Saccharomyces cerevisiae S288C: one gene and its partners. The protein of the gene in region 1 purifies or fractionates together with the protein of each later gene. This does not show direct contact. Each region holds a gene or a part of one and is shown on either strand. Other genes may lie near its edges. The genes, in order: SGO1, NCE102, MPD1 and NDI1.

Region 1 (8,404 bases):
TCTTCATAATGTTTTACTTCGTCTTGTACAGTTTCTACGGGAGCAGATTGTGACACTGAGATGTCTATTGCATCTGCAGAGAAATCATCCGCATTGTTGGATAAAGTAGGCATAGGCGTTGAATTGAAATTCATTTTATTTTCTAATATCAATCTTTCCTGTTGTATGGTAGTGAATTTGGATGAAACATATTTTATCCACAAATTCAAACACCGTAGGACACCTAATCTAAATTCATAAACTCCATTTTCAATGTCTTGCGGATGTATCACATGCTTAGTGTTGTCGTTTTTATTGGAAAGTATTTTTGACCATCTGTGAGACTTTGACTGAAATCTTTTCAGCGACAAATTATGCCTTTCCATTTCGTAATTCTCTAGGAATTCAAACTTTTTGAAATATTGTTGAATTTGCAGCCTGCATTCCATGTCAAACTCGTCCTTTTCCGCATCACTCATATTAAAGTCATCTAAATAGTTTTTTTCAATCTGTTTTATTACCTTGTTTAATTCGACTAGGAACTTCAATAGTCTTGCACATTCCTTAATAAACGAATCCCTAAACATTTCACACGTTTCATTAGAATTCCCGAAGTCCTCTTGTTTCCTTTCAACATGATCATCTATACCATTTTGCTCATTTCTAGCATCATCGATAACAGCAACATACTTACGGAATATTGGTGTTAAATCAGACATCATGAGTTAATAAGCTCTTCACTGCTTTTACGGGTGATTTCCCAGCACCGGGGGAAATGATACTAGACGTATGTGTATGTATTCTAGTTATTCTCATTCATCTGAGCTCACAAGTTGGGTAGGGTAACGGAGATCTTTCCTTGTTGGCAGTTCTTAATTAAATGTGCCCTTTTCAGAAAGATACCAGCAAAGGTAGGAATGATTTATCATTACATGACATGTATCCATATTCCAGGATGGATCATGCGAACAAGCTTCTTTCCCCTCTCGTCTGTAAAGGACGGGATTGAGATTCAATTAAAAAATTAGTTTCATTGGAAAAGGCCAATAAAATATGCAAAGGTCCCGTCATTATACTGCAGCTACCTCAAAGAGATTAGCTTTGTGTCCTCAACGTAGGACCGCATTGAACAGGTTGGAAGAGGTGTTGCTTTTTTGACCTTCTTTCTCAAACTTAATATTTGGTGACGCGTTAAATAGAAAAAATGAAAAAGACCTTAATTGACGCGTTTCCTGAAATATTTACTATAGCATAGCTGTAATTGTATTTTCTAAACTTGTAAGTGACTGTGTATATCAAACAATAAAGTATCAAGGAGAGAGCTTCATAACAGAACGGTACAGGATGACTATGGACGGAAAAAACAAAGAAGAAGAGCAATATCTTGATCTATGCAAAAGAATCATTGATGAAGGTGAATTTAGGCCAGATAGAACAGGCACTGGTACGTTGAGTCTTTTTGCACCACCCCAGCTGCGTTTTAGTTTACGTGATGATACCTTCCCACTACTAACGACCAAGAAGGTTTTTACTAGAGGTATCATACTTGAACTATTGTGGTTTTTGGCCGGTGATACAGACGCTAACCTATTGTCTGAGCAAGGTGTTAAGATTTGGGACGGTAATGGATCTCGTGAATATTTAGATAAGATGGGGTTCAAAGATAGGAAAGTAGGAGATCTGGGGCCCGTTTACGGATTTCAATGGAGGCATTTTGGTGCTAAATACAAGACGTGCGATGACGACTATACTGGACAAGGTATTGATCAATTGAAACAGGTTATACATAAACTAAAGACAAATCCCTACGATAGAAGAATCATTATGAGTGCCTGGAACCCAGCTGATTTTGACAAAATGGCTTTGCCGCCATGCCATATTTTTTCACAGTTCTATGTCAGTTTCCCCAAAGAAGGAGAAGGATCCGGTAAGCCCCGCCTTTCATGCTTATTGTACCAACGTTCTTGTGATATGGGGTTGGGAGTACCATTTAACATTGCATCATATGCTTTGTTGACTAGAATGATTGCTAAAGTTGTCGACATGGAGCCAGGTGAGTTCATTCATACTTTGGGGGATGCACATGTTTATAAAGACCACATTGATGCCTTGAAAGAACAAATCACCAGAAATCCAAGACCATTCCCGAAACTAAAGATTAAAAGGGACGTTAAAGACATTGATGATTTCAAGTTGACAGACTTTGAAATTGAAGATTATAATCCTCATCCAAGAATTCAAATGAAAATGAGTGTATAATTGACAGCACGAGGAGAAACAAAATCATGTACTTACGTATATACACACAAAATCGAATGTATATAATACAATGGTTTATTATGCAAAAATATAGAAATTATTAAGGAACACCAGGGCAAAAAGACTATATATCATTTTTTGGTGCGATATGTTTTTGGTTGATGTTTCACTGCCTTACCATTTCCAAATAAATCAAATACTGCTAAATCATCTTCATTTAGTCTAAAGCTAACAGATTTATTATTAACATTATTAATGTTTGAATTGTTATTGTCGAAATTGTTGTAATTGTTGTTATTATTACTGGTTCCCTTTGACGACTTGGAGGGTCGCGTAGTAGAATTTTCATCAGATAAATTATTGACAATTGCATTTTTGAACAATTTTTTAGTTCTTGTTGACTTTTTCTTATTCTCCGATTTATTTGTAATGTCAAGTAAAGGCGACGATTTTTTAGGGCTATTGTTGCTAGTTAGTTTTTTTTCGTTTTTGTTGTTGCTGTTGTTGTTGGAAGTGGTCATTAGATGAGCGGTATCCTCGTGTATTTCATCTTCCGTTTTTTTCCCTTTTGGAGTTCCATAATCCTTTGAGACGACGACTTCTCTCAATTGCGGTTCGTCGGGTATTGAATCTTGGGATAAACTTTTCCTTTTATGTGAAGTTTCCCGATTTCTCTTGGAAACCTGTAGATCATGTATATCAATCACAGTAGTAGCATCCACAAGTTTTTCTGAAGGCCTCCTCATTTTGGCTCTTAAAGAAGGCAAAGTGTAATCTACAGCTTTACCACGAGTTCTTCTAGTTCTCGTAAATGATATTTCGCTGTTGCTGCTCATGTTACTTACGGGCATGACTTCGTCAATAACCTTTTTCTTCAGTTCTATCCTAGGCGGCTTCATGGAATGCTTAATTTTGGTCTTTGGATGAGAATTAGTAGAAGAACTTGATGAAGGATAGACCGTTGAAGCATCGCTAGTGGTAGTAGGTAAAGTTGCGGATGGGCCTGGTAAAGGCAACGGCAAAGGATTTGACGGCACTGTACTTAGCATATTTGTACTGTCATTGAATATTTCTAGTTTAGAAGATGAATGCTCGGGTTCTGTCGGATTCTCCTCTGGTATGGAGTATTCTATAATTGAATTGGTAAAATTACTGACAGAATCGCTATTTTCCTCTTCAGGGTTTAAGGCATCTATTGTTTCCTCCACTTGCGCAGACTCGTGTGATTCTGCCGGTACCTCTACAGAGGAATTTTCCATCATGGGTTCGTTTTCACCGGTTTCGTCTTCAGGTTCTAAACTCGTGGATACAAACATAGATTGCCGCCTAGAACTCTTCCTTTTTTTAGCCTTAGGCTCAAGATCTGGACCATCGTCCTTGTTAAAACTTGATTCATGCGACAGGTTATTCTCGTGATTTGATAACCTAGTGTAACTTTTTGAGTATGTGGGTGATGACAATGAGCATGATCTTGACCTGGAACTCGTTCTCTTCAACATTGTTCTTAAGCTCGAACTGGGCAAATTTTCGTTTTTACGTACGTTCTCAAACATATAAAAAATTTCGTCAAATCTTTGAATAATACCGTTTTCAATGACTTGTAGTTGATTACTTAACCGTTCCCTGTAGATAGCTTCGCTTATAGAGGTTTTAGATCGTAGAGTCACGTTTTCTTGTACCAGCTGGCTTATTTTTTTTTCCAAGCTATTAACTTTAATTTTTAATATGGAGTTATCCTTGGCCAGCAGGGAGTTTTGCCTCGAATACGACTGTCTGATGTTTTCCACTTTTTGCGATTCGAGATCCATTAGGTTTTGAAATTCTTGTATTTGTGGGGTTAAATCATCGTGGGAGACCGTACGCCTGCTGCTTTCCTTGTTAGGAGCAATTTTTCTCTTCGGCATGGTCAAACAATAACCCCTCTATACCCAATTAAACATATATATGCGTGTGTAAGTAATATAACCCTGCGCCTAGCAGTAGTTGTAATGTGGAAATGGCATTATCAATATTAGTAGACGCTCACTTTGTGAAATTTCTTTGTTTACAAAACAAAAGGGCCTTGAAAAAAATAAAAAAAATCTGTTACCCGACCAATAGGAAATAAATAATCAAAAATAAAAGGGGCGAGCTGGGAATTGAACCCAGGGCCTCTCGCATGCTTTGTCTTCCTGTTAGTCAGGAAGTCGCCCAAAGCGAGAATCATACCACTAGACCACACGCCCTTGTTAACTTGTTGTTAAGACTACTTAGTCTTGAGTATCACACTGCATTCAGTAACATATATTCTTTTAATCTTCTGGCTGAGAACTCCAAGAATAATCGCTAAAAATACTCAAGGGTAAGTACCCCAAACAAAGTTCTGTCCTTCTTAGATATTTTAAATGAGGGAAACTAAATCATTAGTTTATTATTTAGATGCATTTTTCCCAGCTTTAACCTTTTTATTTAAAGGAAATTATAAAAAAAATTTTAAAAAAATGAGTTTTGCGTATCCAATAAATAATAGACAAGATGCTGTCACAACAGTATTAAAATTTCTGAAAGATTCTGCTGTCTCTGGACTGTGTAATACAACAATTCTTCGGAAAACTTGATTCGGAATAAACAATGGTCTTTCATTTATGGAAAATTTTCTTCTTTGTCTCGGTCACTAAAAAAAGCCTTAGCAAAGCTATATAGAAAGAAAATAGTGATATGGTGTATTTGCCGTAAAACTATGGTTTATCCAAGGTCGCCTTCAGTAAACTTTCGGAAATATATTCATCGGAGATATATTATATAATGAGTACATAGCAATCTAATCATGCTGGGTCTTCTTGCACCCCAATGAAACCATAATCATGTAAATGCTTGAAAATTCCGGGCATACTATCCTCTTCCTCAATAACCCAATCGAAGTAGAGTGCTAGTTGTGCACTATGTCCTTGCTGCTCATTAAATAAATTTACTGACAGTTTGGTGGAATTTCTTTGTTCGATCAGATAGTACTGTTAGGTATTTGTTGACATTTACTTCCCTATCACATCAGACCACTGTTTCTCCTTCCTTTTTGCCATCTTCTTACCTATTATATGATAATATAGTTCAAAAGGAAATACCAGTCAATGAATGATAATTGGCTCTTACTCCAACCGTTCTTAATCTGGACCAGTAATTGTTCTTATGGTGAAAAAGTATGGTGACGTCTTTACTTTTAAAAATATTTTTAACAGTTGAAGGAGCTCCCCGTGTACATCTTGCCAGATCTTCAAGAGAAATGTCACCAAATAAATTATGAAATTAAAGTACAGCGGTAGTGATAAAAACGATCATCAAGTAGTGCCATCCGATATTTCGTGTCAATTTCCAAGCTCATGATTTATGACATACAGGATTTTCAAGAATATTAAATCTTGTTCCTGAGGAATTTTTGATAAATCCAATAAATAGTAAATAATAAGAAAAAAGACAGAACAACAACGTTTTGGTGGGAGAAAGGCCACTTCTCTGACCAGACTAGAGTACTAATATTTACGACAAATATACTGAGACCGTGACCAATGGTAGAAGGTGATTGGCTTGAAAGAAATGCCAACATTAAAGCACATATCACTGCTCTTGATATCAGTAGAGTTGCAAAAAAATTATACTACTAAAATCAGCTCAACGGCAAGAAGTTACTAAGCACAGCAGAAATTCTGGAGCTAAAGAGAATAATATACATACAAGACTGACTGAAAACTCTGTTTTCCACATGCAGTGGACTCAAAATATTCAGTTGAAGAAGCAAGCACAAAATTGGATCAACCCGTCGCGTCGCGGCCGCTGCTGCAGGCGACAAATCCACTGGCAAATTGTACGCGGCCTCGTTACTCCTACTTGAAAACAGAAGTAACAACAACAAATTCAAGTTTCTACGAAATGGGTCTCATGACGACAAGGTGCGCCCCCCTATCTACCTTGTTGTAAGTCTGGGACCTGGGGCTAATTTCTCATCCCCGGAAACAAAAGTATACAACTACGTGGCTAAAAATTTTTTAGTATGCAGCACATAGGATGCCAAGGAGCAATTTTTAACCCTGGCAATCTGAGCTACTGAACGGCCGCCTCAGGACTCATAGTTCTCTATATATAATTTCTCCATGTTTCTCCTTGTGCCTGGTGGAAAATATCAAGTAGTTGCCGCGACATAAAATGAATGCCTCGTAGACACCGCGAAGCCGGAATGAAGGCGGACACTACGGCACCGCCTCAAACCCAACGGCCGAGAGCGAGTTCATCTCCCTCATAGATGCGAACGGCATTGGCACTGACGCCATCATTGTAGAACATATAGACAAGATTAAAATGCGTAATCACATCATGAATGGGAAGTTAGGTGCGGTCCACTACCCTGGGGGCCTCACTGGGGACGTCATCACCCCCAAAGCACCTCAATAAGTCCATAAATAAATATATAAAAATTACTGAATAATAATAAAAAAAATAAATTAGTTCAGTCTAAAGAAATGGAAGCAAAAACCTCAAAAAAAAAATTTTTTTACGAAGACTATGCTTCCAAGACTGACGTCTTAGAGGCATAGTCGAGAAGAAAAGGAATTACTGGCACAGAACGACAAGAAATATCGTGTCGGCGCCAAGGCATCTATGTAACTACGTCTTGTGATCACCGGTATAGCTGGGACTATTCCGTTTCATCATATGATCTGGCCGTCTGCGCTTGTACATTCTGGGCGCCAGGCGTAAATGACCAGAGTAATGTCTTGCTGTAGTCGTCCGTCGCCACAGAAGCGCGTGGACGCATGATCGCGCGCAGCGACCGGTCGGTTCGCAAGACGGTTGGCAATAGGAGTTTCCTGCTGACCGCCTTATTAATTTATATGAAAGAGGAGAATTTGTCATCGGGCTTTCGAATGAAATAAAACAGCTCCTTTAAGTAATGGAACTGGAAGAAGGAAGAGAATAAACGACAGAATTTTCGTGCTCGGAGCGAACACCGCGCCGGGTTACGAACAACAGTGGCCACTACTATAATAGTTATGGAGTAGACGTCAGAATATATAGCGCAGGCGTCAGAGTATAGCGCGGGCGTCAGGATATAGTGTGCCAATGTAGCGTGGTTGCATGCAGCTAGCTTTTTAGTTGAGTCAGACCTGCTCCAAAAAAAGAGGAACACAACTTTCGTCAGCATGTGTTGCTACCGCTATTTGTTCTTCGGGGAAAAAAATTTGCATTCGCTATTGTAGTTTTAATTTTCCTTCTCTATTCTCATAAATAGAGTTAAAATCTTATAAACTCCAGAATTATCAAGAACAATTACCTATATTATTTCCTATTGCAGAATTTATATTATTCTTTATTGTACTGATATCCCCATTATAACTATCAAAAAAAGGACTTCAGCACCTGTATCATCATGAGCTTCAGTAGTATAGTCTCTAAGTTTTTGAGATATTTAGAAATTCCTGCCAAAAATAGGACTGCCGTGAATTTTCTGAGGAACCCTGATTTGCAACCTATCAAGTCTGCAAATCAAACATGGGGGTTCTGGTCTAATTTGGCGTACTGGGGCGCTGTGTCCTTTACAGCAGGTACATGGATGAGTGGTTCTGCTGCACTAAGTGTCGGCCTAAGTTACCCAGAGACCATTGTTTCGTTTCTTCTCGGTAATGTCTTGACCATTATTTTCACTATGGCCAACTCTTACCCCGGTTATGATTGGAAAATCGGTTTCACCTTGGCCCAAAGATTCGTTTTTGGCATTTACGGTTCAGCCTTCGGTATCATCATTAGAATTTTGATGAGTATTGTCAATTATGGTTCCAACGCTTGGTTGGGTGGTCTATCTATCAACATGATATTAGATTCCTGGTCCCACCACTATCTGCACCTGCCCAATACTTTGTCCCCAAGTGTTGCCATGACCACCAAGCAGTTGGTCGGCTTCATTATTTTCCACGTCCTCACCGCGCTCTGCTATTTCATGAAACCCTACCATATGAACTACCTTTTAATTTGGTCATGTGTAGCTACTTGCTTTGCCATGCTGGGTATAGTGATTTACTTGACTAAGAATGCCCATGGTGTCGGTGAATTGTTTACCTCCACAAAATCTACCGTTACTGGTTCTAAAAGAGCATGGGCTTGGGTTTACATGATTTCATACTGGTTCGGTTCCATTTCT
Region 2 (7,297 bases), on another chromosome or scaffold:
CTGCTGCTGTAGTATTGGAGACAAATTCATCCTCCAGTTTTTCCAGTAATTTATTATCCTCAGATTCTTCAATCGGTGGCTCATCATTTACTTTGTTACTCTTTAAATCTTCTTTTCTATCAGCAACGTCATCAACAGTAGGCTCATTCGCTTCTTTCTTTGATTCCTCTTCGGCACCCTCTGATTTTGGCTTTTCATCCTCGGTAGAAGGCGTTTCGTCAAAAGAGGTGGTAGTGTTTGCGCTAATGTCCTTTGCGCTAACATCCTTGCTATGTGCTTCTCCTGTGGCTTCAGCTTTTTTCGCCTCTAACTCTGCTTCTTTTGCTTTGACTTCATAACGCATTGTATCAAATTTGAGTCTTGATTCTTCCACTTTTTTGCGCAGGTCATGGACCTTCTTGAAGTCTTGGTTTATTAATGTTTCTAATTTTTTGTTGAATTCCTTGACCATCATAGAATCCATCTCTGCCTTCCCTTCATCGATATTTTTATAGCATGTCGACCACGAATCGAAAACTTTGATCAAATTAGACAAATCTTCATCATCTTCTTCATCTTCTTCATCTTCCTCGTCTTCTTCATTATGGTCGGCACCCTGAGCTTCCGTTGTCTGTGCAGTTTTGATAGACTCCTTTTTCTTCTTTAGTTCTGCCTTTTCGTTGTGTTCTAAATTTTGAAATTCACATTCGCAGTCAACAGCGGCTTTTGAGATGGCTTGAGCAAAAGACCTTGGCAAAAAAGCATCGTCATGGTTAGATCCCTTTTTTTTAGTGGAACTTTCGGATTTTTTAGAGCCAAACCAGCCATCTTTATTGAGAGACCACCAATCCGAAATACTCTCCGTTAAATTTGGTGGATAGTCGTAGCCCTCTACTTCGAACGTTTTGGACACCAGTAGAATCCTTTTACATACCTTCTCTAAGGAATCACTTTTTTTCTCCAAGAATTGGTACTGTGGTGGTAATTTACTTATATCTGATACAGTACCCAATGATTCCTGAACAAATCTAGTTCGCGATTTGATTGATAGTCTTGTTTGAGGGTCATTTAAGTTTACATTTGCATTTGCTAATGCATTGTTCAAAGTGTCTTGGGTCTTGTGAGCAGCGGTGGCAATTGAATCGGTGATCTTGTTTAGAGAAAACCCTGAAAAATAACCAGACATTTTCTAACCAGAATTTTATGGTTTTACCTAACTTTGCTGTTCAGATGTATAAGTATTGCAACCTTTTTTTCCCTGATCATTATTATTTCAAGAGAAATGAAAACCAAAACTGGGATATGCGTGTCGAGTGCTAAAAAAAGCCAACTAGCGATTTAAGAGTGAGAAGTAATCCTCGTTAAAAGCGATGCAGAGCCAACTAACTAAACTGCTAACCTCGCTTTCTTTACACAAGTAGTACTCAAGAAGTTTCATAAAATGCCCAGTTACACACTCGTGAAATGCACTTCAAGGTGGTGTTACAATTTTCACGAACTGCAACAATTGAGTATATTTATTAAAGCAGGAATATGTTTGCCCAATCAAACGTAATTTCATATATGAACATATATGAAGTTGCACACATCAGCGGGAAAGATGTCTCTACCGCTCGAGGAGCCACACGTTTGATTTGCAATCCATGAAATAGAACTGCTAATCCCATATACAATTAACTATATCAATTTCCTGAACAAAGAGATTACAATCAACGGCAAAGCCGCCTGCCTCTCCGGAGATCTCCTTTTTTCTTCTTTCTTTTGTCCTATGTTGCATAGTTGCTCATGTCTTTTCCTTAGGCGGACAATTAAGAGCAGCCACAATATTTCCAAAACTAAATTGCTAAAAAAGCGTAGCAAAAAATTCTCGTCATTCCCACTTTCCCTACCTTAACCCTTGATGTTAACGCCGTTTCGCTCATCGGAACAAACTATACAGATAATTAAGCTTTTCGGCAGCGGTGAGAAAGGAAGCAGCCAGGAGGAATACGCGGCTTTCTCGCGGAGCCCGATTGCCGATACAAAGGAACTGTTGCCTCCTCCCGGCTATTTCCATAGGCCTTCATTCAGCATACTGTTGTGTAGTTGCATCACATCCTTGTTGAATGAATTCCAACTATTTCGATAAACCATCCCATGAAGGAGAATGCAATGCGGCTTTTGTTTGTAAACGGGCTTGAGAGGTTCTATGCGGTTAATTCTGTCACTAGGGGTCCGAATCTCGGATTAAGTATAAAATATGTATTACCCTGATGATTGACCGGATGATGTAAGGATGCATGTCCCTACTGTTTTGGTATTTCCACATACGGACGGGGCCCCGAAACACCACCCCCATTTTAACGGCCGCATCTGAGCATCGGCCCATTTGGCACACGCCCGTTAGTGACGTTGGTAGGGGCATTTCCCTGAGGTAGGCCCAAGGTTGCTTTAAAAGGTCCATCGCAAACCCCTTGTCCGCGGACCTCTGCGTCATAATTAAAATGCCCAAAACATAAAAGTGATCGCCCCCTCACAGAAACTTATGGGCAGCTTGCTGCCTTAACGGAATTGACTAGAATTGGTTTGATTTTTTTTTCTTCCTACTTCTTCTTCCATTTCCCTCCCCTCTTCCTCATATATGTATACAGAAAAATCATACCCCTATAAATTCCTTGGCCCCAATCTTCTGTCAGATTTTCCTTTATAAAAGAGTCTTTGTTTTGTAATTAAAAGATACTTTTTTCTTTCTTCTTCTACGTCTCCTTTTTTTTTTTTAAGAAAATTTAACTTATACCACTATTTTGTTCGCAATTGATCAAGAAAAAATACAATTGAAAAGGTTTTACATTTTTAATTTTTCTGCTCATCGCGCTTTTTTAAAAGGATAAATAAACATTTCTTTAAAAAACATCTTCAATAAGAAAAATCGGTTAAAAAAACTTTTCTTCTCAAAGCATACCTAATAACAATATAATCCCATAATGCTAGCCCTAGCTGATAACATTCTACGTATAATAAATTTCCTATTTTTGGTTATTTCCATCGGTTTAATCAGTTCGTTGTTAAACACCCAACATAGGCACAGCTCCAGAGTAAACTACTGTATGTTTGCTTGTGCATATGGTATATTCACCGATTCATTGTACGGTGTCTTTGCCAACTTCATTGAACCATTGGCATGGCCACTAGTTTTGTTCACACTGGACTTTTTGAACTTTGTGTTCACTTTCACTGCCGGTACAGTGTTGGCCGTTGGTATCAGAGCTCACTCATGTAACAACAGCTCATACGTTGACAGTAACAAGATTACTCAAGGTTCCGGTACCAGATGTAGACAAGCTCAAGCCGCTGTTGCATTCCTCTACTTCTCTTGTGCCATCTTTTTGGCTAAGACCCTGATGTCTGTTTTCAACATGATCTCCAATGGTGCCTTTGGTTCTGGTTCTTTCTCCAAGAGAAGAAGAACTGGCCAAGTCGGTGTTCCAACCATTTCCCAAGTCTAATTGAAGCGCACCAACTTAAATTTTACGCCACTTTCAATTAAGAATATAATAAATGGACACCGTGAATAAATTAGGGAAAAAAGAAAGCAAATAAGAAAACTCCGTTTTCCCTCATCCCTTTCCGTCTTTCGGAAGAAACAAAAAATTATACCCAAGGAAAACCCGAAAAAAATGAAAAAAATACCAGAAAAAAAATAACAAATCATATGCACTTCTTCATTAACGATTATGAAGAAGTCTTATTTCTAACTAATATTATTATTATTATTATTATTATTATCATTCACCCCGCTTTCTTTTATTATAATTTGTTCTTCTAATATTTTAATTTTTAATCTTTTCATACTATTCTTATATCTAACTAAAGTATCCTTCTCTTTGTCTAGTTTTACTTCACTACATACCTGTTGCGTTGATTTGAGTTTTTTGTATGTAAGTTCTGTTTATCCTTTTTCATCCTACCGTTCCGCGCACGGCGTGACGTGGATCCCTAATGTGAGTTCAAATCGGTTACAAAAATTAATAGTTTTGTTTCCTATTATTATTATTATTATTATGTATGAGGAATCGTGCTATAAAATCATTTTCCATATGTATATGCCAAATATTTATTATTTATTTCATCTTTTTTTTGCTTTTGTGTGTCAACCGCATTTGCAGTGCCTTGTCAAACGGCTTCAACTTTCTCATCATATATGGGGGCACGTTTTTCCATTCAGGAAAATATTCCATACCCATACTGGACGTAGACCACCAATTGAATGGCAACAGCTCATTGGGTACGGTGGGATTGTACTTCCATGTACCGTTCACGCCACCTGACATTATACCACCAGTGCCACGTTCACCAAACAATATGTTCTTGTGCTTTTTCTCATCGATCGTCTTCGCCTCTGCGTTTGTTTTCTCGTTCATTGTTAATAACGTTTGCAAGGACTTTCTCTTCTTATCTCTGAATAGCGGGTTTTCCTTCACTGGGTACATTACTGGCCTGTATCCGCTATACAGAATATCGCGGGTGAGCTCCCTAGCTTCCAAATACTGTGTAGTAGGTACTTTGGGCAGCGATCTAAAGTCATAGAAATGCGCATTCTTTAAAATCTTTGAACTCCTTTGCTTGGTAATTTGTTGATGTTGCTGCCTTATGGGGTTCACCAGTCTGCTGTGAGTCCTTCTTTGCAAGCTTACAAAAGAGACGCTGACGCCCCTAATTTTTGTCCTCTTTAATAAAATCATCCTTATTCACTATTTCCGTACGTATATATGTCTTTGTATATACGTGTATGCGTGTGTGTTTCGTTACTCTCTATAATTCAACTAAAATGTATACATGCAGACACACACTCAGAGGGAAAAAATAAATGTGCTATAAATAATGAAACACAAGAAACATCTAAAGTCCGAAAATTGCACCTGCTCTTATCATTCATTCTTATACAAAAGTGACTAGATATGATGGCGGATCCCGCAGCCCCAATCACTGGCAAAGAGCCTGAATACCGATAGGTACACTAAGCGTAAAGACCCTACCGTATTCTGGTTGCTATCACCACCCCACTTCCATCACGTCCATACCAGGTGCGTAAGCTTAATCACTCTTTGCTCCCCTGGTCTGCCCTTCCTATTCCGGATTTATCGGCTCGTTCCCCGCGCCCACTGGGGTAAACCGGCTTGATGGCCCGACCTCGGCGGCTAGCCACCGCACCCAGACCACGGTCTTCTCCAGAATGCCCACGACGTAGTAGCGTGGTTCCGTCACCACTATTGGGCTGACACAACACCTGTGCTCAATGCTCAGCAATATATCCTCTATACTACTACTGTCCGCGGGTGCTTTCAGAAGTGTTTGCCATCGGTCGATAAGCTCTTTGTCCTGACGCAGCGATTCGACTGCCCCCGTAAAGTCTCGTTCGTGATCCCGTAGGCAATCGCAGAAAATCTCTTTCCGCTGTTCCAAGTCGAACGTCTTATAATAAAACAGCAGTTGGGAAACGAATTTGTCTTGGTCGCGCTTCGACGGTATATACTCCTTGATTTTGTAGGCCTTGTATAACGCTTTTTGTTGTTTCCTTATATCTTGTGGGATGGTGTCGGGTGCGATTGTTCCCGCATTAGCAACAATTTGTGCCAGATAATGGTATTTTGTTGGTTCTAGTACTTCGCTATCGTCTTCGCTATTATCTTCGCTATCGCTTTCTTCAGCGGTGGCATTGCCACTGCGCTCGCCGCACCATTCTTCGAAAAGACTTTCACGAACTGTGTCATCTCTGATCTTGTAAAAATCAGGATCGTTTTCGATTTTCTTGCTTTGCAGCGACCACGTGGAAAACTTGTCTAGTTTATACCTATCGAATAATTCGAAGAAGATATTACGCTCGTCAATGTCATCTGTATCAATACGATTCAGATCATCGATAATGCTGATATCTTGATTTACAATTTGTTCTTCATTCTCTTCGTCTTCCTCTTCGTCTTCCTCTTCGTCTTCCTCCCCCGAAGATGAACCATACCCGCTGACTAGCCCAGTGTGGCTTTCCTGTAAAGGGGATTTTACGTCACCCGCCTCTTCGCTGATCTCATCTTTTCTCTCAACTTCGTCTTGATTTCTTTTAAATAGATGAATCTCTTCGTTGCAAGATTCGAGGATTTTATCAATGTCCTCCTCCCGCATAGTGTAACCTCTGGCAACGCCAATCAGAAGAACCAGTTTTTCCTTATCTAACGACTCGATTAATGAGCGACACCTGCTGTCGTCCTCTTGACTGATGTCATTTTTGAACTCCTTAGAGTCATCATTAAAGTAAAGTTTTGTACCATCGTTGTATATTATTAAGTGCCAACCATTAACCAGTTCTAATGAAAATGTTGGCTTCCTCTCTGTCTGTGATTCTTTCGCATTGCTTTCTAGGTTAGAGCCTTTCTTCAAATTAGGTTTTTCCCATCGAGACTGCTTCGTGTTCTTATTATAGTAATACTTTTTGCCTGCAGGTGTCTTAAATTCCTGCCATTCTCCACGCATGGCGATTCTGTGTTACTGAACTGTCTTTCTCTTTATAATACATATCAGAATCTCTTTCGGACACTATTTCCTCTTTCTTCAATTATATTGTTTTCTCTTTCATTGCCGAAGAAAAAAAGAAACATACTGAAAGTTGATAAATATGCAATAATAAAACCTTTTCCTACTCTTGACGCTTCTGTATAAGATAAAAACTGCCAACAAGATCAGTTCCAACTTCCTGCCGTATTATGAGGTATGTTATTCATTACCAAGACTATATCCGCCACGGCTGGATGCAGGCATCGCTCCCTGTGGCTTAAGAAAATAATAGGCACAAAACTAACAATAAAAACATCCACTACTCTGTCGCATGTTCCCTGTGCTCAGATCATTCGTAACAAATAACGATATACCTGTTGGATATGTAACGCCAAAATTCCCCTCATTATACTGGCCCATCAACAACTCGAAGTATAATACTGCATTCTTATACTATATATCTGACATTTGGAAATTTTCGCTGTACTGGACTTTGATCTTTAATGGTGCATTTTACGTTACTGCTGGTGTGTATGCTAGCTTGACCCATAGAAAGAAGGCTGGAAGTGTATGGATATTCGTCATGTACGTCTTATACGGAGGCGTTCAAGGCTTGACGACTGGTACAGTTATGGGGTTTTTAATAGGTGCGATCTATAGATCTGGTTTATTTTCTATGTCTACATGGGTCCCACTTTGTTGCGCAGTAGTCCAAATCCTTTTCGATGTGGTGCTAAGTTATTCCATGGTTGGTTCCGTTATGTGAAAGCTTCTGTCAAGAAAAAACAAGAAG
Region 3 (7,742 bases), 390 kb from region 1:
CAAAATAAAATAGAATTCGAACATTATTTCCAAATTGATAAAGGTAAGAAGCAAAAGGTGCTATTACTTGCCGTATATCAATGCCTCAATGGGCCAACACGTTTGCATAAAGTGCTTAATATTGAGGGAATTATACATAATAATAGTATCAGAACTATACTGGGCAAACAAGTGTCCAGTTCTAAGTGGACAGTGTTTCTGTACGATGTAAAACTAGTTTTATTGGCGCATAGACAAGATGTTCCGAACTTAGAAACTAGCAAGATGATCGTCAGATATGGTGATTTATTTCCCTGTGCATTGTACTTCAAAGATCATACAGCATACTAAGCGCTTTCCAGGGACACCTTCTGTCGCAAAATATCAGAATTTTTCTTGATTAAACGCAGCATATTGAGTATATGAAATTAACGGGACACTGTGTGAAAAATTTGTAGTTGTACTTTTTTGTTATCCCCTTTGGTAGACATATGGACGAATTACTACTAAGATTGGCTTCCATAAGGCCCAAATCCAGATATCACCTACGGTATGTCCTTTTCCTACTTGCAATGACAAATAATTTGTTATTTATCTTGGAACCTATATAAGTTACATCTGATTGCTTTTGTATTTTTTTTGGAGAATATTATTACCCGCGGGGAAGGAAGTAAGGGGAGAATTTTTGAGGTGTATAAAAGAGAGTGGAGGCTTAATCAATCAAAGAATTCTTTCTCGTTTATTTTCAGGGTTTGTGACTAAGAAACGATATTAAAATGTGGAAGGCCGTGATGAATGCTTGGAATGGAACCGAGAGTCAAAGTAAGAATGTTTCAAATATTCAATCTTACAGTTTTGAAGACATGAAAAGAATCGTTGGAAAGCATGATCCTAATGTGGTTTTGGTAGATGTTAGAGAACCATCTGAGTACTCGATTGTTCATATTCCTGCTTCCATCAATGTGCCATATAGATCGCACCCTGACGCATTTGCCTTAGATCCTTTAGAATTTGAGAAACAGATTGGCATCCCAAAACCTGACAGTGCCAAGGAGCTAATATTTTATTGTGCTTCTGGCAAACGCGGGGGAGAAGCTCAAAAAGTCGCCTCCTCACATGGATATTCAAACACCTCACTATATCCTGGCTCTATGAATGATTGGGTTTCTCATGGGGGTGATAAACTTGACTTATAGCCTTGTATACTCTAGGTATGTACCCTGTGTATTTTCGTAAGCTAGTAACGTATTATGCCATTTATGTCACACCGTTCATAATATTTGCCTATTGCATTGGCTGTGATAGCGGCGGCGCAAAGAAATTAGGAAGTATAAAAAAAAAAATACAAAACTTAATCTGAATGGAATAAGATAGCGATAACTCTCAACAAATGGAAGCGAGACAGAAGAAAAAGACCAACGATGTTCAAGCATAGTACAGGTATTCTCTCGAGGACAGTTTCTGCAAGATCGCCTACATTGGTCCTGAGAACATTTACAACGAAGGCTCCAAAGATCTATACTTTTGACCAGGTCAGGAACCTAGTCGAACACCCCAATGATAAAAAACTATTGGTAGATGTAAGGGAACCCAAGGAAGTAAAGGATTACAAGATGCCAACTACAATAAATATTCCGGTGAATAGTGCCCCTGGCGCTCTTGGATTGCCCGAAAAGGAGTTTCACAAAGTTTTCCAATTTGCTAAACCACCTCACGATAAAGAATTGATTTTTCTTTGTGCGAAAGGAGTAAGAGCCAAAACTGCCGAAGAGTTGGCTCGATCTTATGGGTACGAAAACACTGGTATCTATCCTGGTTCTATTACTGAGTGGTTAGCTAAAGGTGGTGCTGACGTTAAGCCCAAAAAATAAGCCAAAAAGAAACAAGTATAATCGATATATCCTGTATATAGACAACCTTTTGTGTATTTCAAATTTTTTGTTGTCACCTCTCCGATTCATTCGATTTTCTCCTTGTGGTTCGCGGATAACCTCTTACTTCCATTAGTTTATGTGTGCGTTTATTTTTTTATCTTTCTCTATATATTACTTTAATGTGCATTCTTTTGCTTAAATACTCTACCTACGATTATGAAATTCAAATTGTTTAAACTCTTTACCCAATCTCTTCTTCCTTTTCCTTTCCATGACCTTTTCACGTTGCTTGGCCTTCATGTGATCAAATTTCCACTTTTGCACCACTTTACGTTTCTCAGACTTTTTCAAATGGTATCTCGTATTATTGTTTTTATTCATATCATTTTCGTATTCCTTGAGAATTTCACGCTCGAGATCTTTGTTTTTCATTGATTGCAATCTCGATTTCATACTTTTCAGTCTTTGTTCCATTTCTTCACGTTCTCCCTGGTCTATTTTTGATAGAAATTTTCTTTCTTGTAACAGCTTCTGCAGTTCATCAATTTCTTTTTCTCTATATTCGTCCAAGAACTGGTAACGTTTTCTTATGATAGAACTATCAAGGGCTTTACCGGTGGACTTATCAAATCTGATGTCCTGATAGAGGTTAGACCTTTTATTCCTCGGTATTTCCAGCCCAGGGATATTTCGGACTCGTGGTACCCTTTTCTTGGATGATTGTTCTACTGGAGCGTGTTTGCTCTTCTTTTTTGGTACTTTCTGACCATGATGAGTTTCATCCTCACTATCTTCTTCAAAGAATCCAGCATCCTCGTCTGATTGGTCCTCACTGTCCTCATCTTCATCAAAACTTTCTTCTCTGTATGTAGTTGTGATCGGTTTTTTGTGAACGGGTTTCGTATCTTTGAAATCTTCTTCATCTATTACCGTTTCAGCCTTCTTCAAAGAACCAAAAGACAAGGTTTTCAACTCATCGTCACTTGATTCTTGTTCGTCAATTTCTCGCTTACTTTTGTTCGCCATTATGCTCTCCAATAAGTTTCCGTCATCTTCTTCTACGTCGGAGTTCAAGTCTGGCTTCAGATTTTTAAAGTAATACGACATTTTTAACCTTCTAGTGCTTATTGACCCTCTATACAATTTTTGGATGGCAATTTAATTATACTATTTAGTACTTATTCTTATGCCCCAGTTTTCCGGTAGAAAGGCAAGCTCATCGGTTGAAAATTTTCAAAGCGGGTAATAAACGTGTCTTTCGGTATTTAACCGCTCAGATAAAAGTTATTATTGCAAATAAAAGTAAACGTCCATGCCATCAGTTAGTGGACTATATAGATACATATGTTGTGTTTAATTAGATAATCATTGAATGAGGAAACGTACCACTACAATTCGTCGTGCTTGTTTCCTGAGGAGGAATGGTTCTTTTTAATTGGCTTCTTGCCAGTTTTTAAGTAAGCAATATATTCAGAACGTCTACTAAAAGGACCCTCATTGGGGGTAATACTAAAAGTGTCCCGCAGAAATTTGGAAATGTCATTTTTGTTGATTGAGTTCCCTTCATACTCCCAAAATTTATCTTTGTCTGCATCAAAAACGACAAGCTTACTTTTATCGCTCTGTCGCTGTTCAGGAATGACCTTCTGCAAATATTTGAAAATCTCAGGAGTTTTTTCATATGTTGGGTTCATATCGGTTAGTTGCTTGAGTTTTTTGTTTGAAATTGAATAAAAATCGAACTTTCCTAACCAATCAAGGGCAATGCTTTTATAAACCGGTGAAATTTTGTCTTGTTTGGAAAACAACACCACGGAAAGTTTGGGTGACTTTCTAAGTAAAGAGCCAAGTGTATCTATACGGACAAACTTTTTGACATATGACCTTATTCTTGAAAGAGAAAAATCAACAATAGGCGCGAGAGTTCTTGCACCTGAGTACACTTCATTGGCATGAGCGCTGAAACTTTTTTTGGCGTTATCTATTGGCTTAGATAGGTCAATTTTTGGGGGCCTAAATACCATTAACGTGGGAAATCCGTTTACGTCGTATTTAGCACACAAAGCCTTATTCTTGTTAAGGTCACAGTTTACAGCAGCAACTTGGACTACACCATCCAATCTTTTTGCTGCCTTGCGGAACGTACTAGAGAGCTTCTTACAATGGCCGCACCACGGAGCATAAAATTCCACTAATGATGTGTAATTTGTGTTATGGATCGCTTTATCGAAGCTTTTTGGCGTTAACTCTGATATATGAGGATCGGAATCGTAAAAGTTTTGCGCCTTTACTTCATTCATAATAAAAAGTCCCAAAAGGAGCTTAATAATATTAAGAAATAACATTATATGTCAAATTTTGTCTCTCCTAATTGTGTTAAGTGGATGCTTACTGTTGAAAATGACTGCGAAAAGATATTTCTCTTCATGTTATTTAACTTTTACGTGTCAATTTTAATTTTTACCAAATTTTTATACGCCTCGCAAGGCTCGAACAACGGCCCTTTTTTCAAGGGATAAGCACATGACACTGGGCGACAAAGGAGGAATATAAAGAGAAATTTGCGTCAATTTGTATCCAGATAAGATCCTTTGAAAAGATGGTTTTTGGCTTGTGCGATAGTAATGGCTTTAAGGCTATTTCGAAAATCCAGTTTTTTTGCAAAGATATCAATGGAAGGCCCTAAAGGTTCATCGCCATTTGCGTTTTACGCATTTTATCAACTTTATTCGCACTTGAATCCGGGGAAATCGAGCAGCCTTTCTTTAGAAGATATTAGAAGAAGGCTATACCCCGACTTTAAAATAGATTACAATGAGAAAACTTCGTTGTTCATAACTTGGAAGAAAAAGTCCAATAAACATCACACAATAGACACTAACGAAGAGAATTATATACTTAGAGGATGTATCGGTACATTTGCTAAGATGCCGATTGCACATGGTATTGAGAAATATTCCTTGATTGCTGCTTTAGAGGATAGGAGATTTTCTCCGATCCAGAAAAGGGAATTGGTGGACCTGAAATGCAGTTGCAACATCTTAGGCAACTTCAAAACTATTTTTCGAGGTGGTGGTAATCCAAATGGGGACATTTTCGATTGGGAACTCGGAAAGCACGGTATTGAACTGTATTTTAAGCATCCCAAAACAGGCACCACATGTAGCGCAACCTTTTTACCTGATGTTATGCCTGAGCAACATTGGAATAAAGAAGATACCTTTGCCAATTTAATCGAGAAGGCGGGTTACTGGGGCAATATTAGTGAAGTAATGGATAATTTTGAAACTTATTTCATTGAAGTAATAAGGTACGAGGGCAAAAAAAGTTCCATAACTTATGAGGAATTTAACAAACAGTTAAAAGATATAGAGGCTTAGAAAATAACCCTCGTTAGTTAGTCTTAGAAACATTAAAAAAAATATGCTTTTATACATTGATCAAGCTTAAAAATTGGACGCAACCGGAATCGAACCGATGACCTCTTCCTTGCAAGGGAAGCGCGCTACCAACTGCGCCATGTGCCCTGATGACTGTTGAAACTGTTGTATCTCAAAATGAGATATGTCAGTATGACAATACGTCATCCTGAACGTTCATAAAACACATATGAAACAACCTTATAACAAAGCGAACAACATGAGACAAAACCCGTCCTTCCTTAGCTGAACTACCCAAAAGTATAAATGCCTGAACAATTAGTTTAGATCCGAGATTCCGCGCTTCCACCACTTAGTATGATTCATATTTTATATAATATATAAGATAAGTAACATTCCGTGAATTAATCTGATAAACTGTTTTGACAACTGGTTACTTCCCTAAGACTGTTATATTAGGATTGTCAAGACACTCCGGTATTACTCGAGCCCGTAATACAACAGAAACTCATTTCTAATGAGTGGTAAATACATTTGTGGGAAATATCTTTAAGGCCATCTCGGACCTGTATATAATCTCCGAGTATTTCCATTAAAGATGAATCAAATACATGAAATATCTATTAAAGACATATACTCAAGGAAAAGAAGTAGTAGATATATCTTCTTTATATATATTGCCCTGTGTTGCTAGCAGGGTGTTGGAACAAATAATTTGTTCCGTATTGGAAAATTTATAATTAGGTCCAAGAACAAGTTCACTATGATGACGACATATTACTTTGTTCAAAGAGATGGTTTAAAATAAATATGTATAGCAGAATTATAAGAGGCGAAATCGATCAATTAGTTGAACAATTAACTTAAAATCTAATATATATAAATATATATATATATATATATAGGAAATATACGGCACGTTATACTAGAGATATTAAACATCCCAACTCGGTTAATGGGTACAATAAAAAAAAGAGGGATTAATGTTTGTCTACGTATAAACGAATAAGTACTTATATTGCTTTAGGAAGGTACTATACACTCGCTTCTGTCATGCTCGAGTCCGCTTCATCTGTGAAAGATTCAGCCACGCTTGAAGTAACAACAGGAGGCAAGACGAGGGGTCTGGTGCCATACTGTTCATCAAATTCAGTAAAGTCGAGTTGTGAGTTATCGCCCATTATCTCACAGTATTTCTTCGTAACCACTTTTTCCAGTTCTAAAGAGTCTTCGTATACTACTGAACCCTCAGTATTGTATATCCTAGCATTGGAAAATATCAGATGAAAGTCTTGAAGGGTCTCTTTAAGGGAGTTGTAAGCTAGCGTTTCAATATGCGTGTTAATATTATCAAAGGCGACAGGGTACTTAATAATCATATAGTAGTCGGGATATAGTGCTTTGGAAGGTTTGGAGAGGAAAATGTCAGAAAGTTTCCTTCCAGCTTCATTTTCATAATTGAGAGCAAAGTGGTATAAGTCTAGAGCTTGTTTAGCAACTTTCTCTCTAATATCAATAGGACTCGTTGCCGCAGCGGGCGTGCGGACATAATCAAGCCCATTTCTTGCTTTTGGCGGCCTTCCTCGTCCACGTCCTCGCCCTCGACCACGACCACGACCGCGACCACGGCCCCTTGTTGAAGTTCTTGCTGATTTAACAGATGTTTTTCCCGCTGTACGTGGTTTTGGAATGTCCATAAAATCCTCACTGGGAGAGTTATCGCCAGTAACTGGACTTGATTCAAGCGCTGGTGGTTCAGAATTTTCAGATCCTTCAAGTTTCACTTTCTTAGGTCTTCCACGGGGCCTTCCTGCCTTTCTCTTTTTAGACAAGAAATCATCGTCATTCATTGCCAAATCCGTATCTGCCCGATCTTCGGCCGATATATTATTAATTCTAGGACCGTCATTATCAGCGTCAATGTTTTCGCCTTTAATTTCTCCATTCCCATCAATCGCCTCGCTCTTATCTTCCTTCTTTGTTCGTTGTTTTCTTGCCTGCTTGTCATTTTTTTCATCATCGCTAACTTCAAATTGTCTTAACCACTGTTCTTCAGACATATTATCGTTGTAAGTTGCCGTCTTACGTTCTCTTGCACCCCTTCCATTGTAAACAGCAGCAGATTCTGATTCTTCACGTTTGAGCTCGGCACCAATATCTCTACTGTAAATATCAGGTAATTCACTCTTTTCTAAGAGACGGCTCTTTACTCCCAATTCTTCCTCCTTCTTTGATCTATCTTCATCCATCCTTGTAAGAACAGCCATTTCTTCGTCATTTCGAGCAAGAATTTCGTTGATTTCTGAGTCTTTTAACTCCTCTTCTTCTTCAACACCAGACTCTCTTTTCTTTCTACGTTCCTCTTCTGCATCCAGCAAAGATCTAAGCAACGCTTCTTGTTCCTCCGATGTAGATTTGTTATCGAATTTACCTGCTTGAATGACTTTACCATCGATATCTAGCTTCTTGTAGGCTCTCTCTAGGATAACTTCTTCAACTGAATTCGTAG
Region 4 (8,134 bases), on another chromosome or scaffold:
GTCCAATATGGTGTGTTTTATAGTGTTGAAAGATATGAATATTCCACAAGAATTAGTATTGGAAAACATCAAAAAAGCCAAAGAGTTTTTCCAATGACTGAGGTGAGTAGACGAAACATTCGGCAATTGAGTGTTTGCGGGGCATAAGAATTATAAAGCTTTCGTTACGTATATACAAATGGGATTTGGCGTATAAAATAAATAGAGAAACATAAGAGGAAGAAATAAATAATCACAGATATATATATAGGACAATGGGAGGAAAAAGCTGAAGTGATCAACCAATCTTGTCGGGGTTTTTTGCTTGTGCATTAGTCAAGCATCATTTCGAAAAAAGTGGGAATATATAAATAATAAAACATCATGTGCATTTTTTTGTGCGTGTGTGTGTGTGTTAGGTTTTGTTTAGAGGGTTTTAGAAAAAAAAGGATGCAAACTCAGGAAAAAACGGTGCCTACCACCTTTTTTCCTTTTTCCAGAAAAGGGCATGTTAATTTCATCTATAATCCTTTAAAAAAGTCTCTTTTGAAAAATGCTAATTTAATCCAGTCGAAAAAGACCTTTAATCTCGATCTTGCAGATAGAATCATGGACAAGTACAAAATTCTCCATAAGTAGAAGGTCATTAAGCCACCACCGGTGTAAAATGTTCTCTTACCGGAACGTATGGTTGCAATGGCCCTTTCGGATCCCAGGTATGCTAAGGCACCTAAATCGTTGTATTTGAAAGGTTTAAAGTTGTTCTCCTCGAACAAGAGATCAATTTTATCCTTTCTTGAAGATAGATTCTTTTGGAAATTTGGTATTTGAGCCATTTTATCAAAATTCTTGGCCAAATATTCGGCCTCTTGGTGCGCTACTTGGGCGGTTGGTGGCAACCCAGCAAATGCATTGTCACCAATGGCGAAAATGTTGTTGCTGCCTTTCACCTGCAAAAAGTCATTCACTGCCAATCCTCTCTTGGACGAGTTTTGCTCAGGAATTTTCTTGAAAAGGTCAGTGATTACCGGTCTTGCCTTGTTACCCGTGGCCCAAATCAAAGTACCGTATGGAATAGTTTCTTCGGTTATTTTACCGTCTTCGTGTTTGGTCTTTGCCAACAATTGCTTTTCTTCAACTTTGGCGACAGCCGTTCTCAGATGTACTTTGATCGAAGTGTTTTCTAAATGTGATTGCGCGTATGATGAAAGCTTTTTCTCAAACATATTCAAAACGATGGGCAGAGCTTCGACCAAGTGAATTTGGACTTCTTCGGCCAATGCAGGGAGAAACTTTCTCAGGTCCTGGTGAACATAATCCTGTAGTTCACCAGCGGCCTCTACACCAGTAGGCCCACCACCAACCACGACAATGGACAGTAGTCTTCTTCTTTCGGGATCACCCTTTGGCAATAAGTTAGCCTTCTCTAGATTGGCGGCAAAAGTTCTTCTTATTTCCAAAGAGTTGGGAATTTCCTTCAGGAAATGACCGTAATCAGTGACCCCAGGAATACCAAATGTGTTAGGTTCCGCACCTACAGCACTGATTAAATAATCGTACTTAATTTCAGCAGGTTCTGCTTGATGCAGCCCTAGATGGTTTTCAGGTTGGTATAGCTGGCTAACGGCAGATAATGATTTTATGGTAACGGTATTCCTGTCGGGATTGATAGAGGTGGCTTCTGCCTCATAGTAGGTAACGTTCCCCTTTTTCTTGAGAGCAAAATTAACGATGGGCTCAATAATTGACTTTTCGTCTACTGTCCCAACTGGTGCAGAAGGTAACAAAGGCGTAAATAAGAAATAGCTTCTAGGAGAGATGATGGAAACGTTGTACTTCTTGGTGTCAATGTGCTTTAAAAACGAAATAGCTCCCCACCCCGAACCCAGTATCAGCACGTTTGGTTTGTCGCTGTGCTGAGGGTCAATGACTTTCATGGTCTTAAAAGATGTAGGACCTGCTCCGGAGTTTTCCACCCCTGTGGATCTGGTGGAAGCGAATCTGACTAGCGTATTCGTCGAGGTGAGCAACCTCTTGTTACTATACAAATTCTTCGATAGCATAGTGGTTTTTAGTTTCTTCTCTTGGGTAAACGTGTAATTCGATGATGTGATGAAACTGACACCCTACCTGAAACTCCTCAATTGGTAGTTAAAACTCCTTCCCCACTATGCCCTATACATCTTATATATACCCTGTCGACGTTGCAAATACCGGCAATAACCAAGAGCGCTAAGGGGGAGCACTCTTATTGTGGTTACCCGGACGTTCAATGCCTTCATATGATTGGTCCGAATGAATAGGTCATGAGAAAATGCATATTTTTGAGGCATTTCAGCAATGATCGGCAATCTGCACATATTCGTATTGTTTCCCTGAGTAAGTTATTTGCGGAAAGAGACATTCTATTGCTTTGGAGTATTTTGTGGTCTTCGACAATAAAGCGAAGGAATAATAGGTTCGTTGCTAGCGACAAGCAACACATAGTTGTAGTGATGCTATAGCAAAGAAAGGTCACAGATTCATTATTGACCTTTTAAATGGTGCCCAGTGGCAATTGCCGTTTTAGCATTCTTTAAATGCGTAGTATATGAGTTTTAAAGTGCTTTGTTGTTCACGTGCTTTTCACGTGTATGATTACTTAACCGGGTAGCGCCGGTCTTTAATATGCTTTCCAGATTAGGAAAGAACATAAATAAAAACACAAAATAAGAAAGTGTCAATCATCCGCATTGAAAGAAAGAAAAGATTTTTTTATCCCTCAATTGTACATGAAAACAGAGACCTTTCAAAACGTATTTTAACATTCTTTTACTCTTTTCTTGCACCTGCAGCCTTAGGTCAGTAAGAAAAAAAGTAGGTAGCAATGAGCCCAAGTCCATCAGTGTCGCCAAGAAGGACGCTCAATAACAAATCATCTTACATCAATAACAGCGGTGGGCTGGTCCTGCCTCCTACGCAGTTTAATTTGAATCAGCAGCCAGTCCTGAGCTTCCAACAAAAAGCGACTTTCGATTCCAACCAGCAGTTTTTCTATTATCCAGAGTCACCCACAAAAAACCTGAGACCAAGGTTTAACAGTATTTCGCAGGTTAATAAAGGAGTTAATGAAGACCATTATACCGGGGGCGGTAGCAGTAATAATAACAGGCCATCTAGATATACAAATACCATGGGCGCTGCAAACACCAATGTAAATTCCCATCCGCATCATCAGTCGGTGTCGCATTTAAATTCTAAATCTCTTAAATTCAATCAAACGAAGGAAGTGAGCAGCATAAATGAAATTATTTTTCCTTCCAGAACGTGTACAAAGAAACGGTATTTTACCAAGCCAATTGATTTGTATGGTACAAGAAGTAGCACTAGTGTGGCACCTAAGTTGACGAATTCTCCCACGAAATCAAAAACAAATTTCAACATCAAGAAGTGCATCTTACCTAGGTCCGTCGTTACCACATATAAATTACCATCTCCAGTGCACGAAACGATAGACGATATATCCAAAAAAATCATAATCCTGCTAATTTCGTTGAAGTTTGAGAAAAACTATCACTTCTTGCAACCTATTCAATTGTCCACAAATAGTAAGACACGGATCTCAAAATCACTAGACGAATTATGCGGAGTGCAGCTGACATCAACGTTACGGCAACAAAAGCAGCTGCAAGGTAACAGCAAGCCCGTAAAGAATCTCCCTAATTCCAATGCGAAGCAGAGAGCCGGGGCCAGTGTTTCCACAAATGCCAACGAAAGCTTTGAATTGAGTTTTGATGGAAAGGCAATGGATAGATCTGATATATTTCGAATGGTAGATTCTTTTAGCATCGCCATTTCAGATGAAGATGAGGAAGATGAGGAGGAGGATAGCTTTCAGCAGAGAAGTGCGAACAACAGAATCCTCCCTGCGGAGATACTAAGTAATGAACCTTTGAAATGATACGGATTCTCTGTATTCTGTCTATAGTATTTATATACCAATACATTTTTCCGCACTTTGAAGTTTTGCATTTTACTTAATGTAGTTTATTATTAGTTGCCAAAACGAAACATTTAACATGTGAATTAAAAATACAAAAAAAAGCCTATTAACGATCTAAATTTATGACAAAAGACATATAATTATTTTAATGATGCCTTTGTCACAACCGAACACAATATCTTTGAAAAGTGATCCAGCAATCGAATTCAGAATTCGTTGTGCCATTTTTGCCTTACGTTTGCGCCATTGTAATTTCTCTGTGCCGTCTTCTCTTCACTTTATTTCAATATTATCATGCAGTAAACAAGTTGCAGAATAATAAATAATATACGTACCAAATATGTGAACAACTCAGATACTATTCATTTGATATGTTAAAAGTCCTGCATTCCTCTCCCGACATTATATATAAAATGCTCAGCCACCCCTTCGTTGCACAGAAAAAAAGGATGACCTATAATACCAATATTCAATCACAATAGTTATACCAAACTAACACATGGTTGAAGCAGACTACTTACTATCGTGGAGTTAGCTCACTGAAAATTTAATATTTACAGCATTAAACAGTTTTTTCTTTTGTTTTGTCTCCTACATTAATTTCAATATGGATAGCCAAGTAGAAGGCAAAATATCCCCCTCACAGAAGGAGTCCTCCTCCACCTCAGGCCTCGTTTCACCTAGTGAAGATGGCCCAGCACATCAAAAAATACACAGAGACCAATTAAGTGTGGATCAAATCAAGAAAATCAGAGAAGAACGTGCTCAGAAGAGACAGGTACGTAGGAACTCTCTAATATCCCAAGGGAAGGACCCTGACTTCCCAACGCCTGACTTACAATTCATTGAAAGACCATTCCTCCCTATCAACCATGATAATTCGAAAGGTCTTACGCCAGCGACCATACAAGTCACCCAAGATTCATTGGACGTTAAAATAATGACCTATAATACTCTAGCACAAACCTTGATTAGGAGAGATTTTTTCCCAGAAAGTGGACCAGCGTTAAAGTGGCATAAGAGATCAAAAGTTTTGGTCCACGAATTGAAAAAGTACAGGCCTGATGTAGTATCGTTGCAGGAGGTCGATTACAATGAACTCAACTTCTGGCAGGAGAATTTCCATAAGTTAGGGTTTGATGTGATTTTCAAAAGGCATGAAGGGAAAACTCATGGACTACTAGTTGCATGGAACAATAAAAAATTCCAGTTAGATAATGATTGGATGCTGGACTACGATAATATATTGGCGGGAAATGTCATTTCAGCAAGAACAAGAACTAAAAATATTGCCCTTATTATATCGCTATATTTCAAGGGTATAACAGATTCATCATCAAGAGGAATTATCGTCGCAAATACACACCTATTTTGGCATCCCTTTGGGGTATTTGAAAGATTAAGGCAATCTTACTTGGTTTTACAAAAGATCCAGGAAATTAAAGCATGTTCCAAATATAATGGCTGGCATAGCCTACTGATGGGTGATTTCAATACCGAACCTGAAGAGCCACCGTACTTGGCCATAACGAAAAGACCACTGATATTAAAAGGCCCAATAAGAGCTATGGTGGAATGCTCACTAGCGTATCGGTATTCAAAAAAAAGGAATGGAGAAGAAAGTGACCAGGATGATGAAGAGTGTGATGAAAAGTCTAGGGGCGAAGGCCATTCAGATCAACCACAAAACCCAAAACCAGAGAGCTTTACAGCCACAAAGGAAGAAAAGGCTCTGGTAAATCAATTAGTTGCGTTGCATAATTCACTACATGTGAAAGGCGTATCTTTGTATGGGATTGGCTACGGTAAAGTGCATCCTGAAAATGCTAACGGAAGCCACGGCGAACCGGGACTCTCAAACTGGGCCAATACATGGTGTGGATTATTAGACTACATATTTTATATCGAGGGTGATCATAATCAGGACACGCGTCAGAAAGAGCCTCTGAATGCTTTTGAAGGAAATAACAACGTAAAAATAATCGGATATCTGAGGATGCCGTGCGCACAAGAAATGCCCAAACACTCCCAACCTTTCGAGGGAGAATATGCTAGTGATCACATTTCCCTAATGTGCCAAATACGCTTGTTTTTTGGGGGGGAGAAAGTGCATAGCTTAAAATAAAGAAACAATATATATAAACAACCTACATTTGTGTTTGAAAGACAGTAATCAACGCTTCGATGGTCACTGGGATTTTTCTTTCAATTTAGCGTCACTTTCACCTTATTCACAGCTTTTACGTGCTATTTTTGGTCACCCTTCCCCTTTCGTTGCGCCTCAACGGGCTAAAAAAAAAAAAATAAAATCAAGCATAGAAACACCACAACAAACCTGCCCTTTTTCCTTGTTTCAGGTTACGTGAAAAGCATCCAGAGAAGATATCCCAAAGACTGAAGAGGTGTAGTTGGCTCATTCACGTCGTTCGTTTATATTATCAAGGAAGGGGTTTTTGATCGGCTCGAACAAGACTCGCAAGAATCCGTTTTCTATTGTTTTTTTTGAGGATTCCAATATGTCAAATTCCAATTCAAAAAAACCTGTTGCGAATTACGCATACCGTCAACAGCAAGATTATAATGGGATGAACGCCATGGTGGGAAATCCAATGATGTATCATCCTGTTGATTTCGTAAACGGTGCCGGCCAATATGGTCCTTCTCAACACCCAGCATATTACACCAACTCACCATTACCTAATATTCCACCAACACCTTTTGATACTGCATACGGTGCCAGTCTTTTTCCATCTCACCTATTGATGGGATCTCCATTTGTTTCCTCGCCTAACATGCAAAGTGGCTATAATTCTGCAAGATCATCTAATCTCAAAAGAAAGGCTTATTCGAGGCCCGTTTCTAATCATAACGGTTACAACGGAAACAGTAACAGTAACCAAAACAATACTAATAACGGAATGGTAACACCCTCGAACTATTATAGAATGGGGAGAAATTCTTTCTCGAGGAACAACAACAGTACGAGGAATGTTACTCACAACAACAATAAGGGGTGCGACACCCGGAACAACAGTGGAAGAAGAACATTCGCAAGGAATAACATTTTCGACGACATACTTCCAGAAATGCTTTTACAAAGACCCTTTTGTATTAATTACAAGGTTCTACCGACTGGTGATGATGCTTATAGAACTAGGTCGCTGCTTATTGAAAATGTGGATCATTCTATTGATTTACACTCTATAGTCAAAAATTTTGTCAAATCCAATACTCTGGAAAGTGCCTACTTAATTGAAGGAGGGAAGAGCGATGATTCAAAAGATGTAGAGACTAAAAATCTATCCATTCTAATAAGCTTTCTAACCAAAGGCGACTGTTTGAACTTTTACAATAACATTTTACAAAGGTTATCTGAATTCAAAACATTTTTGAAATCTGAAGCACTAAATCTGAAATTTGTTTGTCTAAACTATGATCCCAAATGCCTCCCTACCTTTATTGAGAGTGAAGCGTTAACAGAAAACGCTGAAGAAGCCGACATTACCAATGGTTCAACAATGATCAGTGCTTCGCTGCATCATAATATAGCGAACAAAGATGCTACAAGGTCGATTATAATTGAATTCAAAAGCCCCGTGGAGAAAAGCGATTTATTCAAAAAGAAATTACAATTTTTGGACAGGTCAAAAAACAAAAGATACATTTTGGAATCTATCGATTTAGTGAACACAGATGTACCTTCCAATCAATTTCCTGAAAATTACGCCGTTTTAACCTTTTTGAATATCTCTATGGCTATTGAAGTTCTCGATTATTTGAAAAAATACTCCAAAAACTTAGGCATTTCTAAATGTTTTTACGTATCCCTAGCCCCGTTGGTAGTTAGCTCAGCCAGATCTTCGGTTGCTAATATTTACGAGGGTAAAACGAGCACACATCGTTTATCGGTGCCTTCTGTTACTGCTGGGAACAATAACGATAGCAACAACAACGGAAACAATAATAAAAGTAATATGAGTGGTATCACCACACTCAATAATAATAGTAGTATTGGTGTTTCCGTATACGGTCACTCTAATATGAGTTTAACCAGTCTGTCATCATCTGTATCTTTAAATGAAGAGATTGATATGCTTGCGACGAAACTTCAAGGGGTAGAACTTGATGGGACTTATTTAGAAATCAACTATCGCGACTATCAAACACCAACTA

What was found.
Region 2: the proteins of SGO1 (region 1) and NCE102 purify together in Saccharomyces cerevisiae (affinity purification with mass spectrometry, with the first as the bait; one large-scale study listed by BioGRID). This does not show direct contact.
Region 3: the proteins of SGO1 (region 1) and MPD1 purify together in Saccharomyces cerevisiae (affinity purification with mass spectrometry, with the first as the bait; one large-scale study listed by BioGRID). This does not show direct contact.
Region 4: the proteins of SGO1 (region 1) and NDI1 purify together in Saccharomyces cerevisiae (affinity purification with mass spectrometry, with the first as the bait; one large-scale study listed by BioGRID). This does not show direct contact.

Annotation. Positions count from the first base shown.
Region 1 is NC_001147.6:460,509-468,912, reverse strand, and holds SGO1 (Sgo1p), read right to left. Parts: upstream 4,143-8,404; coding exon 2,370-4,142; downstream 1-2,369. Other genes in the region: UFE1 (Ufe1p), read right to left, coding at 1-701; CDC21 (thymidylate synthase), read left to right, coding at 1,324-2,238; YOR072W-B (uncharacterized protein), read right to left, coding at 4,283-4,444; YOR072W (uncharacterized protein), read right to left, coding at 7,097-7,411; NRT1 (nicotinamide riboside transporter), read left to right, coding at 7,637-8,404. UniProt on the Saccharomyces cerevisiae protein: Plays a central role in chromosome cohesion during mitosis and meiosis divisions by preventing premature dissociation of cohesin complex from centromeres after prophase, when most of cohesin complex dissociates from chromosomes arms.
Region 2 is NC_001148.4:826,976-834,272, forward strand, and holds NCE102 (Nce102p), read left to right. Parts: upstream 1-2,942; coding exon 2,943-3,464; downstream 3,465-7,297. Other genes in the region: YPR148C (uncharacterized protein), read right to left, coding at 1-1,165; SUE1 (Sue1p), read right to left, coding at 4,080-4,700; URN1 (Urn1p), read right to left, coding at 5,086-6,483; MAY24 (May24p), read left to right, coding at 6,714-6,718, 6,853-7,270. UniProt on the Saccharomyces cerevisiae protein: Involved in membrane organization. Required for the formation of membrane compartments of CAN1 (MCCs), localization of CAN1 at the MCCs and subsequent invagination of the plasma membrane at the MCCs sites.
Region 3 is NC_001147.6:848,880-856,621, forward strand, and holds MPD1 (protein disulfide isomerase MPD1), read right to left. Parts: upstream 4,199-7,742; coding exon 3,242-4,198; downstream 1-3,241. Other genes in the region: HUA2 (Hua2p), read left to right, coding at 1-330; thiosulfate sulfurtransferase RDL1, read left to right, coding at 756-1,175; thiosulfate sulfurtransferase RDL2, read left to right, coding at 1,401-1,850; rRNA-processing protein RRP36, read right to left, coding at 2,058-2,960; YOR289W (uncharacterized protein), read left to right, coding at 4,478-5,233; SWI/SNF catalytic subunit SNF2, read right to left, coding at 6,268-7,742. UniProt on the Saccharomyces cerevisiae protein: Participates in the folding of proteins containing disulfide bonds.
Region 4 is NC_001145.3:27,766-35,899, forward strand, and holds NDI1 (NADH-ubiquinone reductase (H(+)-translocating) NDI1), read right to left. Parts: upstream 2,043-8,134; coding exon 501-2,042; downstream 1-500. Other genes in the region: Rag GTPase GTR1, read left to right, coding at 1-97; YML119W (uncharacterized protein), read left to right, coding at 2,846-3,919; NGL3 (3'-5' poly(A) RNA exonuclease), read left to right, coding at 4,569-6,086; NAB6 (Nab6p), read left to right, coding at 6,478-8,134.